Ovis aries: one gene and its partner. The protein of the gene in region 1 binds, or shares a complex with, the protein of each later gene. Links are inferred from orthologs where the notes say so. Each region holds a gene or a part of one and is shown on either strand. Other genes may lie near its edges.

Region 1 (4,410 bases):
GAGTCATCAGACCTAGAGTGGGCCCTGCTGACTTCCAGGCAGGTGGTCCAACAAATATCATCAAGGTTGGAATACATCCATTTTCTCTTTCAGTCGACGATTACAGTTACAGGGCTTTGAAAGAATAAATTTCGACTTTCACAGTGGGGTTTCCGCTAGTAAGTGGGGTTTCAGCTAGTTATCTGAACTGTATGAAACCATATATAGCAATCACTCAACCATTTACTTGAATATTTCTAAGATGCTGATGATAAACATAAGCAAGCATAATTTTCATGCTTACAGAGTAGCCTGCTGGCTTTCAGAGTTTATAAAATCTACATAAGGTACAGTTAAGATTTATTATCTGTATCAATAAATATTAGCTGAGCAGCCATTAAATACCTATTATTGTACTACATAATGTGAAGAGTCCAAAAAGCTGAAAAATATACGGTCTTTGGGCAAAAGACAGTTAAGCCTAACTGAGAAGGCTAAGGCTAGAAACACTTTAAATAGTAAGATTAAAATTGTACTAAATTATGCTGTTGGTTAGGTATCTGTTGGTTACTTCATGTATGGTATGTATTTAACCAAGTAGTAAGTATCAGTGAACTTTTCTGGACTTTAGCACGCTCACCCCATAGGATGCCGCATTGTGAAGAGGTATTAAACCACCTTTGTCTTGGGCATTAACATCTGCTCCGTGCTCTAGAAGATACTCCGCTACTTCCAGGTTATTGTAGCCTGCTGTTAGAATGAAAAAAAAGCAAACATGTCAGCTTAAAAGGAAAAAAAAATGTATATAAATGATAATGATCAGAAAATACTGGGTTTTTAATACTTTCTGTTTTAAAAACTAGGTAAGAATGATTAAGAATAAAAAAATTTATAAGATTTATAATAAGTTATATAAAATTATGTCAGTGAAGCATTTTACTGAGTAGCAGCACTCTTCCTGATCAGCATTTCTTTCCTCTTCTTATGAACTGTATCCAAGAAAGGACATGAACCTTGGAAGTGCTGGTGATGCTTACCGGCCAGGTGCAGAGGGGTGGAGTTTCTGCCCTGGGTGTCTCTGCAGTTGATATTCTCTGGGGTACAGAGCTTTTGCACTCTTGCCAGGCAGCCCTTCTTGGCAGCATCCAACAAAGCAGCATCTCCTCTCAGCAAGTCCTGGATATCTGTGTCTCCTTCTTTTACCAAATCTAAAGGTGTATTTCCGTCTCTGTTCTTTTTAGTGGGATCTGCTCCATGCTACAAAATAACCAAATGGTGTTTGTGTTTTCTGTAGCATCTTTAATACGTTTTGTTTCTTTATTTTTAACTTCACTTTCACTCCTCCAAAGAAAAATACCTATTCTGTGTGCATTGTGAAAAACAGAGGCAACATTTGGTTTTTCTTGCAAATCTCCTACTTAGCAACAAACTGGGATCAGCTTTCCAACTACTTCCCATCCAAAGCCCCATGCCTCAGGATGACCTGTGATGGTGAGAGGGAAAGGTGTCAAATGTCTTTCACTTCTGTAGCATATACTGTCTCAGACTCTATGCTGTCTTTGGAAACCACTTTTCCTTTTAATGATGGCCTGGCTAGAAATGTTAATCAAATCTTGATTATTAATATGTAAAGATATTCAGTGCTGATGAAATGAGAAGAGGAAGACACAGGTGGAAAAAGTATTAATACTCAATTCCAAATGGAATCAGTAAAAAGAAAGTTTGGTAATTTAAAAATATTTTTGTTTTAAGTCTGAGCACCTAAGGTGAAATTAGATAGAAATATATTAACAATTAACTTGATTTTATAAGTTTAATCATTTATACTTATGAAATAAAGTAATTAAAAGTCAAGAATCTTTATTTACAGACCTGACACAGATGTTATTGGCTCACTGGGGAAATTTGGAATAACCAACCCAGACAGTGAATTCACAGTGACCTAGAAGTTATTTCTTACTTAACCAGGGACAATAAAAATTAGTATCAACTACAGTGTTATTCTTAAAACTCATATGAACACATCTGATCCCATAAAAGTGGTAGGAGAAGAATTTTATATTTAACTAAGACAAGTTTCTCTCTAGTTTAAAAAAGAGAGAGAGGAAATGATATAAATACATGTCCAGTCATTTGTCACATCTTTTAATTTTCTATCTTTTAATGTTTAATTAATGCTTAATAGTTAGAGGTGAGTTTGTTAACAATAATAAAAATAGCTAGCGAGGAAAAAAAATCAAACTTGATGGAAAAACACATTTCTTCTTATATAAATATCTTCTGATATTAATTGTCAGTTACAGATAAGTAATGCAAGCTAATTCAACTCTTTCCAAAACCTACCTTGTTGAATTGTGATGAACTCAACATAATCAAATCAGTTCAGAAAGGCACTTCAGCCACTACTCAAAGCTACGTAAGAATCATGATATCACACTTAAACATCCCCCTAGAACAGAAAACGGAAGCAGTCTCTACAGCACTTACTGCACTGTATTACAGAATAATTTACCTTGATGTCATTTTACATCCTAACCAAATAATAACTATAATTACCTTATATTTTATAATTTTTAAAAGTACATACTTTTAAAAGGAGCTTGCAGATTTCATATTTTCCTTTAGCTGCTGCTTCATGTAGAGGGGTAAATTTCCATAAGTCCGCCACATTGACGGAAGCCCCATGTCTTACCAAGAGCTCAGCTACTTCGTAGTGTCCATATGAACAAGCATTATGAAGGGGCACCAAACCACTAAACCAAAGAAAATTATTTTAAAGACATACAATAAAGCGGTGTGTTAAAATGATACATATAATAAAATAATTCTCTATGGCATTTGACTATTATTGAACACTCCCTTAAGAAAAATAATTCTTTGATCTTGAAGATAGTCAGTATTCAGTAATGAAAATAATGACATCAACCAAGAACTCTAGTCAGATGTACAAACTATTCTGTGATGACTCGTTTAAGTTCTGATTACAAGGCAGCTGGCCTTCTAAAAGGACAAAAAGTGTCCCCATAAAAAAGGAGGGTGCCTCAAAAGATAAATTTAAGTTGCACTTAGTACATAGCAGACACAAGGTATCAAGTTAGGACCTTTTTGCTTAGAGAGATCCGGTTTCTTTGTTTTTGTTTTTAATGTTTTGAGACCAAAAATACTAAGTGCTAAAATGGGGCAATAGAAACAAATGTTGGCTCCTCTCTAACGAACCATAATACTTTGAAAGAGATAGTGATTAATATCAAATGTTCATGTCTGACGTCTTTCTTTTAAAAGAGAAATAAATGCAAAATGGTTAACTGAAATCTAGTGAAAGTGAAAATGGTAGTTGCTCAGTCAGGTCCGACTCTTTGTGATCCCAAGGACTGCAGTCCTTTTCTGTCCGTGGAATTCTCTAGGCCAGAATACTAGAGTGAGTTGCCATTCCCTTCTCCAGTGGATCTTCTCGACCCAGGGGCTGAACCTTGTCTCTTGCACTGCAGGCAGATTCTTTACTGTCTGGGCAACCAAGGAAGCCCAACTGAAGTCTAAGTTGTGTGGTTTATTTGTTAGCAATGTAACTGCACAGGAAGGTGCTTATTTATATTTTGAGATGATATGAAATTAACTCAGGATATGGAAGCTCATTTCAGTTAAAACTTCCTTCGTGCTTTTCTAGATGTCTTTTGTGTCTGCTTTAAACCCTGTCTAGATAAACTGAAATAGTTTCATAAGCCAATACAAAAATAGAGACTATCTGAATTAGTAAAAATGAAATGTTTCTACTAACATGGATGACTCTTTTTGGAGGAGAAAAGATTTAACAGCAAAAGGAGGGATGAACAATAAACTATATAAACTTATTTACAAAATACAAAAAAATAGTATATATAGGCATTAAAAGGATGAAATGAACTGCTTAGTACTGATACAGAAAGACATTCAAGATATACTATTATAAAAAAGGCAAACTGTAAAGCAGACTGCGGGATGACATCTTCATTTATGTTAAAAACAAGCCCCATCACAACAGCACACACACTGGTACACATGTGCTTCAAAACTCCTCACAATTACAACAAAATTTTGATGTTGTAATCTCTAGGAGGTGGAATGAGAGGGACTTTTCACTTTCTATACATTTTCATAAAGTTTTAATTTGGGGGGATTCCCAGGTGGCTCAGTAGTAAAAATATATCTGCCTGATACTTTAGGAGATATGGGTTTGATGCATGGGCTGGAGAAGATGCATTAGAGAAGGAAACTGCAACCCACTCCAGTATTTCTGCCTGGGAAATCGCATGGACAGAGAAGCCTACAGTCCATGGGGTTGTAAAGAGTTGGACATGACTTAGCTACTATAAAACAACAAAGTTTTAAGCATTATGCTTTAAGCTTTTAAAAAAAAAATTACTTTTTTAACAAGGGGAAAAAAATCTATCATGA
Region 2 (5,163 bases), on another chromosome or scaffold:
TCAAGACCAAAATTATGACAGGACTTAACCTTAGCTAATCTGATACCAACTCCAATTCACCTGTATCATCTTAAACCTCAGGAAAATGGCTCTTTGCAGTTTCACTCAATCTCACAACTCCCTGCCAGGGCCAAACTTGAGCGATCAAGCAAAGAACACATCAGAGGCAAAGGAAAAGACACCCCTTGCCTTATGTTACATTGTGACAAGCCACTCTGTAGGTAAACAGAAGACCTGTAAGTTTTGTGTTACTTGAAAAAAAAAAAGACCTGAGTGTTGTGCTACTTTTTTTTTTTTTAATTATAATTATACATCCTTTGGGAAGAAAAAAAAAACAATCTCACAAAATAAGAAACTGTTCCAATGAACAGACATAAAGCTGATATTACACGTGAGCATACAACAAGTTTTTACAGAAGAGCAGAAAATAGGCTGAAATTTTGGTTATGCAGTATGCACTAGACACTTCTCATTTTACTAATAATTCATAGTTTCCATTTTAAAAACAAAGAGTTTCACTTTTGATTCTTCTAAAGTAGTTCACTTCCTAGTTACTAGCTTGAAGTCTACTTCCTAGTTACTACCTTGGTGGATTTTAATGTCAGTTCATTTGAAGTAGATGGTTTAAAGTATTTGAACCTGTATGAATATTTGAAAATAGTACTAACATGAGTAACAAAGAACAGCATATTCATATGGCAAGCAAACACATTAAATGTTTCTTTAATACATAAACACCATAATAGAAGTATAAAAATAAATGCGACTGTATTGCTCTAAAAAATGTCCACAATCTCAACGAGATGATATGACACATAGTAAAAACAGTGTCAAAATGGTAGTATTTTAGACTAACAACTACTCCCTTTGCATAAGGAGGGGACTCATTAAACTAAGAAACTGGACTTGATGGCTAAGATCACTTTTAGTAATTTATTCTTGATTCAAATTTATGCATAAACCTCTGAAATGGGCAGATCTGCATTATCTAAGTACATTAGTCAAAAATCAATTTTAAAAACTCACAAATTTTTTTGCCATTGTTCAAATCTGACATGTGAAAACCATGAGCTACATTTCCCACTTTGAAAAAAAAAAATAGGCTTTAACACTTAACATTGAAGAGAACTATAAACCGGAAGGACACCAAGCCTACTAAATATTGCTCAGTATACTATGGCCACAAGATCCTCCTCTAAGTATTAACACTTTGTCACATACTCAACATCAAAAACTAAAGTTCAAAGTATTCAAAACAGAATGAAGGGGATTAGGAGATAAACTGTTCTAAGCTCCCATTATTAAAACTAGAATTATTTCACTGCAAATAAACCGCAGTCTGCAACATCTTCTCAATCAACCCAGTCACTCTTTAGTTGCTAAGTGGCGTCCTACTCTTTGCCACCCCATGGCCCCATGCCACACCAGAAACCCCCTCAGGCCCCTCTGTCCATGCGAGTTCCCAGGCAAAGATACTGGAGTGGGTTGCCATTTCCTTCTCCAAAGGATCTTCCCAACCCAGGGATCGAACCAGAGTCTTCTGCATTGCAGACAGATTCTTTATCACCGAGCCACCTGGGATGCCCAAATTAACCAATAACAATTAACTAACACACAAGAGTTCCAAGAAAACTTCCCCAAAGTGCCTAAAATAACAATGCAGTATGCTCGCTTTCCAAAATTCTTGAGCATCTTCAATTACTTCAAGTACTACCATAAAATTCTAAAAATATCTCAAAGCAAAAACTTAGCACGCTGTGAGTATACATAGTCCATTTTACGACAGTAGGCCTTATTTTAAAATCAAGCACAGGTAGGATACAATGATGCCAAGAAAACTACTGATTATCAACACCACAGGGTGGGGCATTCACACTACTCTCCCAGAAAAATCGAATAGTTCTACCAGCTTTTCACAGTAAACCGTGGTCACCACCATAATTTCAAGACGAGTAAAGTAATGGTTTTCCTTTTGCCCAAAATGTTTTTCACACCAATAACCCCCTCCCCAAAAATTAAGCCATAGCCAACGACTCTCCAGGATATGGTGCAACCCGTGAGAGTGCACTTCAGATTCCGAAAGCAAAATCGAAGGGGGAAAAGTAGCATCTCTCACTTAACTATACTTAACGGAAAAGATTTGAAGCTTCACAAACCCAGATTTTTTTTTTTAAGGGAACAACCTCTTTAATGTGTGACCCAGGCAAGAGTAAAGGGTGAGGATGGAACAAGGTCAAACTTAGGGGACAAAATATACCTGAAATAAGCATGGCCGAAAAGGTCTCTTCTTAAGGGACAGTTTCTATATTTTTAAAAAAAAGGAAAAAAAAAAAACAAAAAGAAAAAGGAACCAACCAAATCCTCTACTTTTACATTGAGTCCACCTGGTTCCTGTACCTGGCAATTCAATTGCGGTGGAGACTCTTTTGCAAAATAGCAGATCTGGAAGGCTCCTGTCTTGGAAAGAAAACTGGGTTCACAAGGGATGACAACCGGCTATTTCTTTTTCTTAAAAAAAAAAAAAAAAAAAGACGAGGAAGATAAAGTTTAATTAGGAAGTCATACAGAGGAGTGTAGGAATGTAAGGTCGCGCTCAACAAACACCCATCACCGTCGGTTACAGGAAAACAATTGGCAAGAAGGAAGTGGACTGAAACCCGCTAACTACACCCCGCTTTCCACACGCAGCCCGGAACTGGGAGCGACGCCCCCAAAGCGGGCAGGGGCGGGAGACGGCGGCGCGGGGAAAGCTGGGGCCGCGGAGGCCCGGGCGGCGGGGAGGTCCCGGCCGCGGCGGGGGAGGGCGGCACCTCGGGCGGAGGAGCGGGGCCGGGTCTCCTCACCTTCTGCGCCGCGCTCTGCTGCAGCACGTTCTGCTCCACGGTCATGGCCCCCGCCGCGCCGGCGTCCGGCTCCCCGAGCCTCCGCTGGCCCTGACTGCCACGCTCCGCCGAGCCCCAGGGAGCGGCGCGGACGGCCGGCGAGGACAGCGCCCCCGCCAGCCAGGCGCGAAGGCGACGACGGCCGGCGTGCGCGGGCACCACGGGCTGGCGGCGCGGCGCGGACACCGAGGGCCACGGCGGCGGCCCCACGACTCCGCGCGGCCCGCCTCAGCGCGGCTCGGCGGCCGCGGCCCGGGCCATGAGCGGGCGGTGGACGCTGGGGGGCGGGAGGGCGCTAGCAAGCCCGGACGCGTCACGCGCGCGCGCGCGCTCCTCCGCTGGCGGCTCGCGGGCCACTGCGGGGAAGGGAAAGGGGACAGAGGGAGCGGCCGGCCAGAATGGCGCTGTCCTCCTCCCACCGCAACTCCTCCTCCCCTCCCCTCCCCTCCCCTCCCTCCTCTCCTGTCCCCTCCCCTCCCCTCCCTCTACCGCCCCCTCCCCTCCCCTCCCCTCCCTTCCCTCTACCGCCGTCACCGCCCCCGCCTGGCGGCTCCTCCCCCGCCGAGCCCCGCCCACAGGCCGCCCTAACCCTACATTGTGACCCGCGGGTCGGTGTGACGGGAGGCGGGGCCGCTCCGGAGCCCCGCCCCCCGTCCTGGAGTCCCGCGGGGTGGGGCGAACGAGCGCCACGCGGGCCCGGCCTCGGAGCCGCCCCTGCGGCAGGTTGCGCGACGCCTACCCGCGGCTCCGCGACGCTTCAAGCCAAGGCCGGAGGGCATCGTGCCTCTTCATGCCCAGAATTTGTCAGATTTCCATATCCCTCTAAGAGAAACATTTTCCTCTAGGTCCCTGAACGTTCCCAAACCGCTTTGGATCCCGAATCCTTGGTCTTTCTGAGTCCTCTCCCCAGCCCTTTCTAGGAATTTCACAAGCAGTAAACTTGCCCGAAGAGAAAAGTCAATTGTGATTTAAGCAAAAGGCTGTCAGAAGGCCTTTCGCTGGAATGTACTTTTCTCTGCAACTAATCATTACATAAGTTAATATTGATAGTCTCTGTCAACTTCGTCTTTTCAAACATGTGCCAGTCACTGGCAGGCTCTTAGGAAATAAAAGTTTATTTTCCTAAGGTTTGACGTAAATGAAATACGGTCTATTCAACAGACAGTGTTACAAAAATATCACTGCCTAGATGGTACAGGATACCCCAGTTGCAAAACAATTATCAATTAACCACCCTTCTTGAAATACTTGATTATATATGGAATAGTAAGGAAAACCTAATTTTGAGAAAGCAGTCTATAACCTCAAAAATATCTTGAATTTCACAAGCTAATCTGGGGGTGGGACACAAATAGGATGTGAAGATGCAGTGTGCTGCGAGAGAAGGAATAATCCGTGGTTCAGTTCAGTTTAATTCAGTCATTCTGTCGTGTCCGACTCTGTAACCCCACGAACTGCAGCACATCAGGCTTCCCTGTCCATCACCAACTCCTAAAGTTACTCAAACTCATGTCCATTGATCGGTGATGTCATCCAACCATCTCATCCTCTGTCCTCCCCTTCTCCTGCCTTCAATCTTTCCCAACATCAGGGTCTTTTCAAAGGAGTCAGCTGTTTGCATCAGCTGGCCAAAGTTTTGGAGTTTCAGCTTAACATCAGTCCTTCCAGTGAACACCCAGGGCTGATCTCCTTTAGGATGGACTGGTTGGATCTCCTTGCAGTCCAAGGGACTCTCAGGAGTCTTCTCCAATACCACAGTTTAAAAGCATCAATTTTTGGCGCTCAGCTTTCTTCACAGTCCAACTCTCACATCCATACATGACCCCTGGAAAAACCATAGCCTTGACTAGACGGACCTTTGTTGGCAAAGTAATGTCTCTGCTTTTGAATATGCTGTCTAGGTTGGTCATAACTTTCCTTCCAAGGAGTAAGCATCTTTTAATTTCATGGCTGCAATCACCATCTGCAGTGATTTTGGAGTACCAAAAAATAAAGTCAGCCACTGTTTCCCTATCTATTTGCCATGAAGTAATGGGACCAGATGCCATGATCTTCGTTTTCTGAATGTTGAGCTTTAAGCCAACTTTTTCACTCTCCTTTTCATTTTCATCAAGAGGCTTTTTAGTTCTTCTTCACTTTCTGGCATAAGAGTGGTGTCATCTGCATATCTGAGGTTATTGATATTTCTCCCAGCAGTCTTGATTCCAGCCCATGCTTCATCCAGCCCAGCATTTCATGATGTACTCTGCATAGAAGTTAAATAAGCAGGGTGAGAGTGTAC

Evidence for each region. The genes of interacting proteins can lie anywhere in the genome.
Region 2: the proteins of TNKS (region 1) and USP25 are in contact, whole or in part, in a crystal structure (PDB 5GP7), measured with the Homo sapiens proteins. The link is inferred for Ovis aries from reciprocal best matches to the Homo sapiens genes TNKS and USP25. Residues at the interface, in NP_003738.2 of Homo sapiens: Arg836, Ser838, His842, Leu843, Gly846, Tyr847, Leu871, Asn876, Ser879, Tyr880, His882, Asp900, Trp902, Phe904, Glu909, Gln912, Lys913, Gln934, Glu935; in NP_037528.3 of Homo sapiens: Ser1046, Ser1048, Arg1049, Thr1050, Pro1051, Ala1052, Asp1053, Gly1054, Arg1055.

What each region holds. Positions count from the first base shown.
Region 1 is NC_056079.1:24,772,141-24,776,550, reverse strand, and holds part of TNKS (poly [ADP-ribose] polymerase tankyrase-1), read right to left. Parts: intron 2,733-4,410; coding exon 2,567-2,732; intron 1,237-2,566; coding exon 1,017-1,236; intron 730-1,016; coding exon 620-729; intron 1-619.
Region 2 is NC_056054.1:142,137,921-142,143,083, forward strand, and holds the start of USP25 (ubiquitin carboxyl-terminal hydrolase 25), read right to left. Parts: upstream 3,241-5,163; 5' UTR 2,889-3,240; coding exon 2,844-2,888; intron 2,637-2,843; exon of another isoform or gene 2,398-2,636; intron 1-2,397. UniProt on the Homo sapiens protein: Deubiquitinating enzyme that hydrolyzes ubiquitin moieties conjugated to substrates and thus, functions in various biological processes including inflammation and immune response.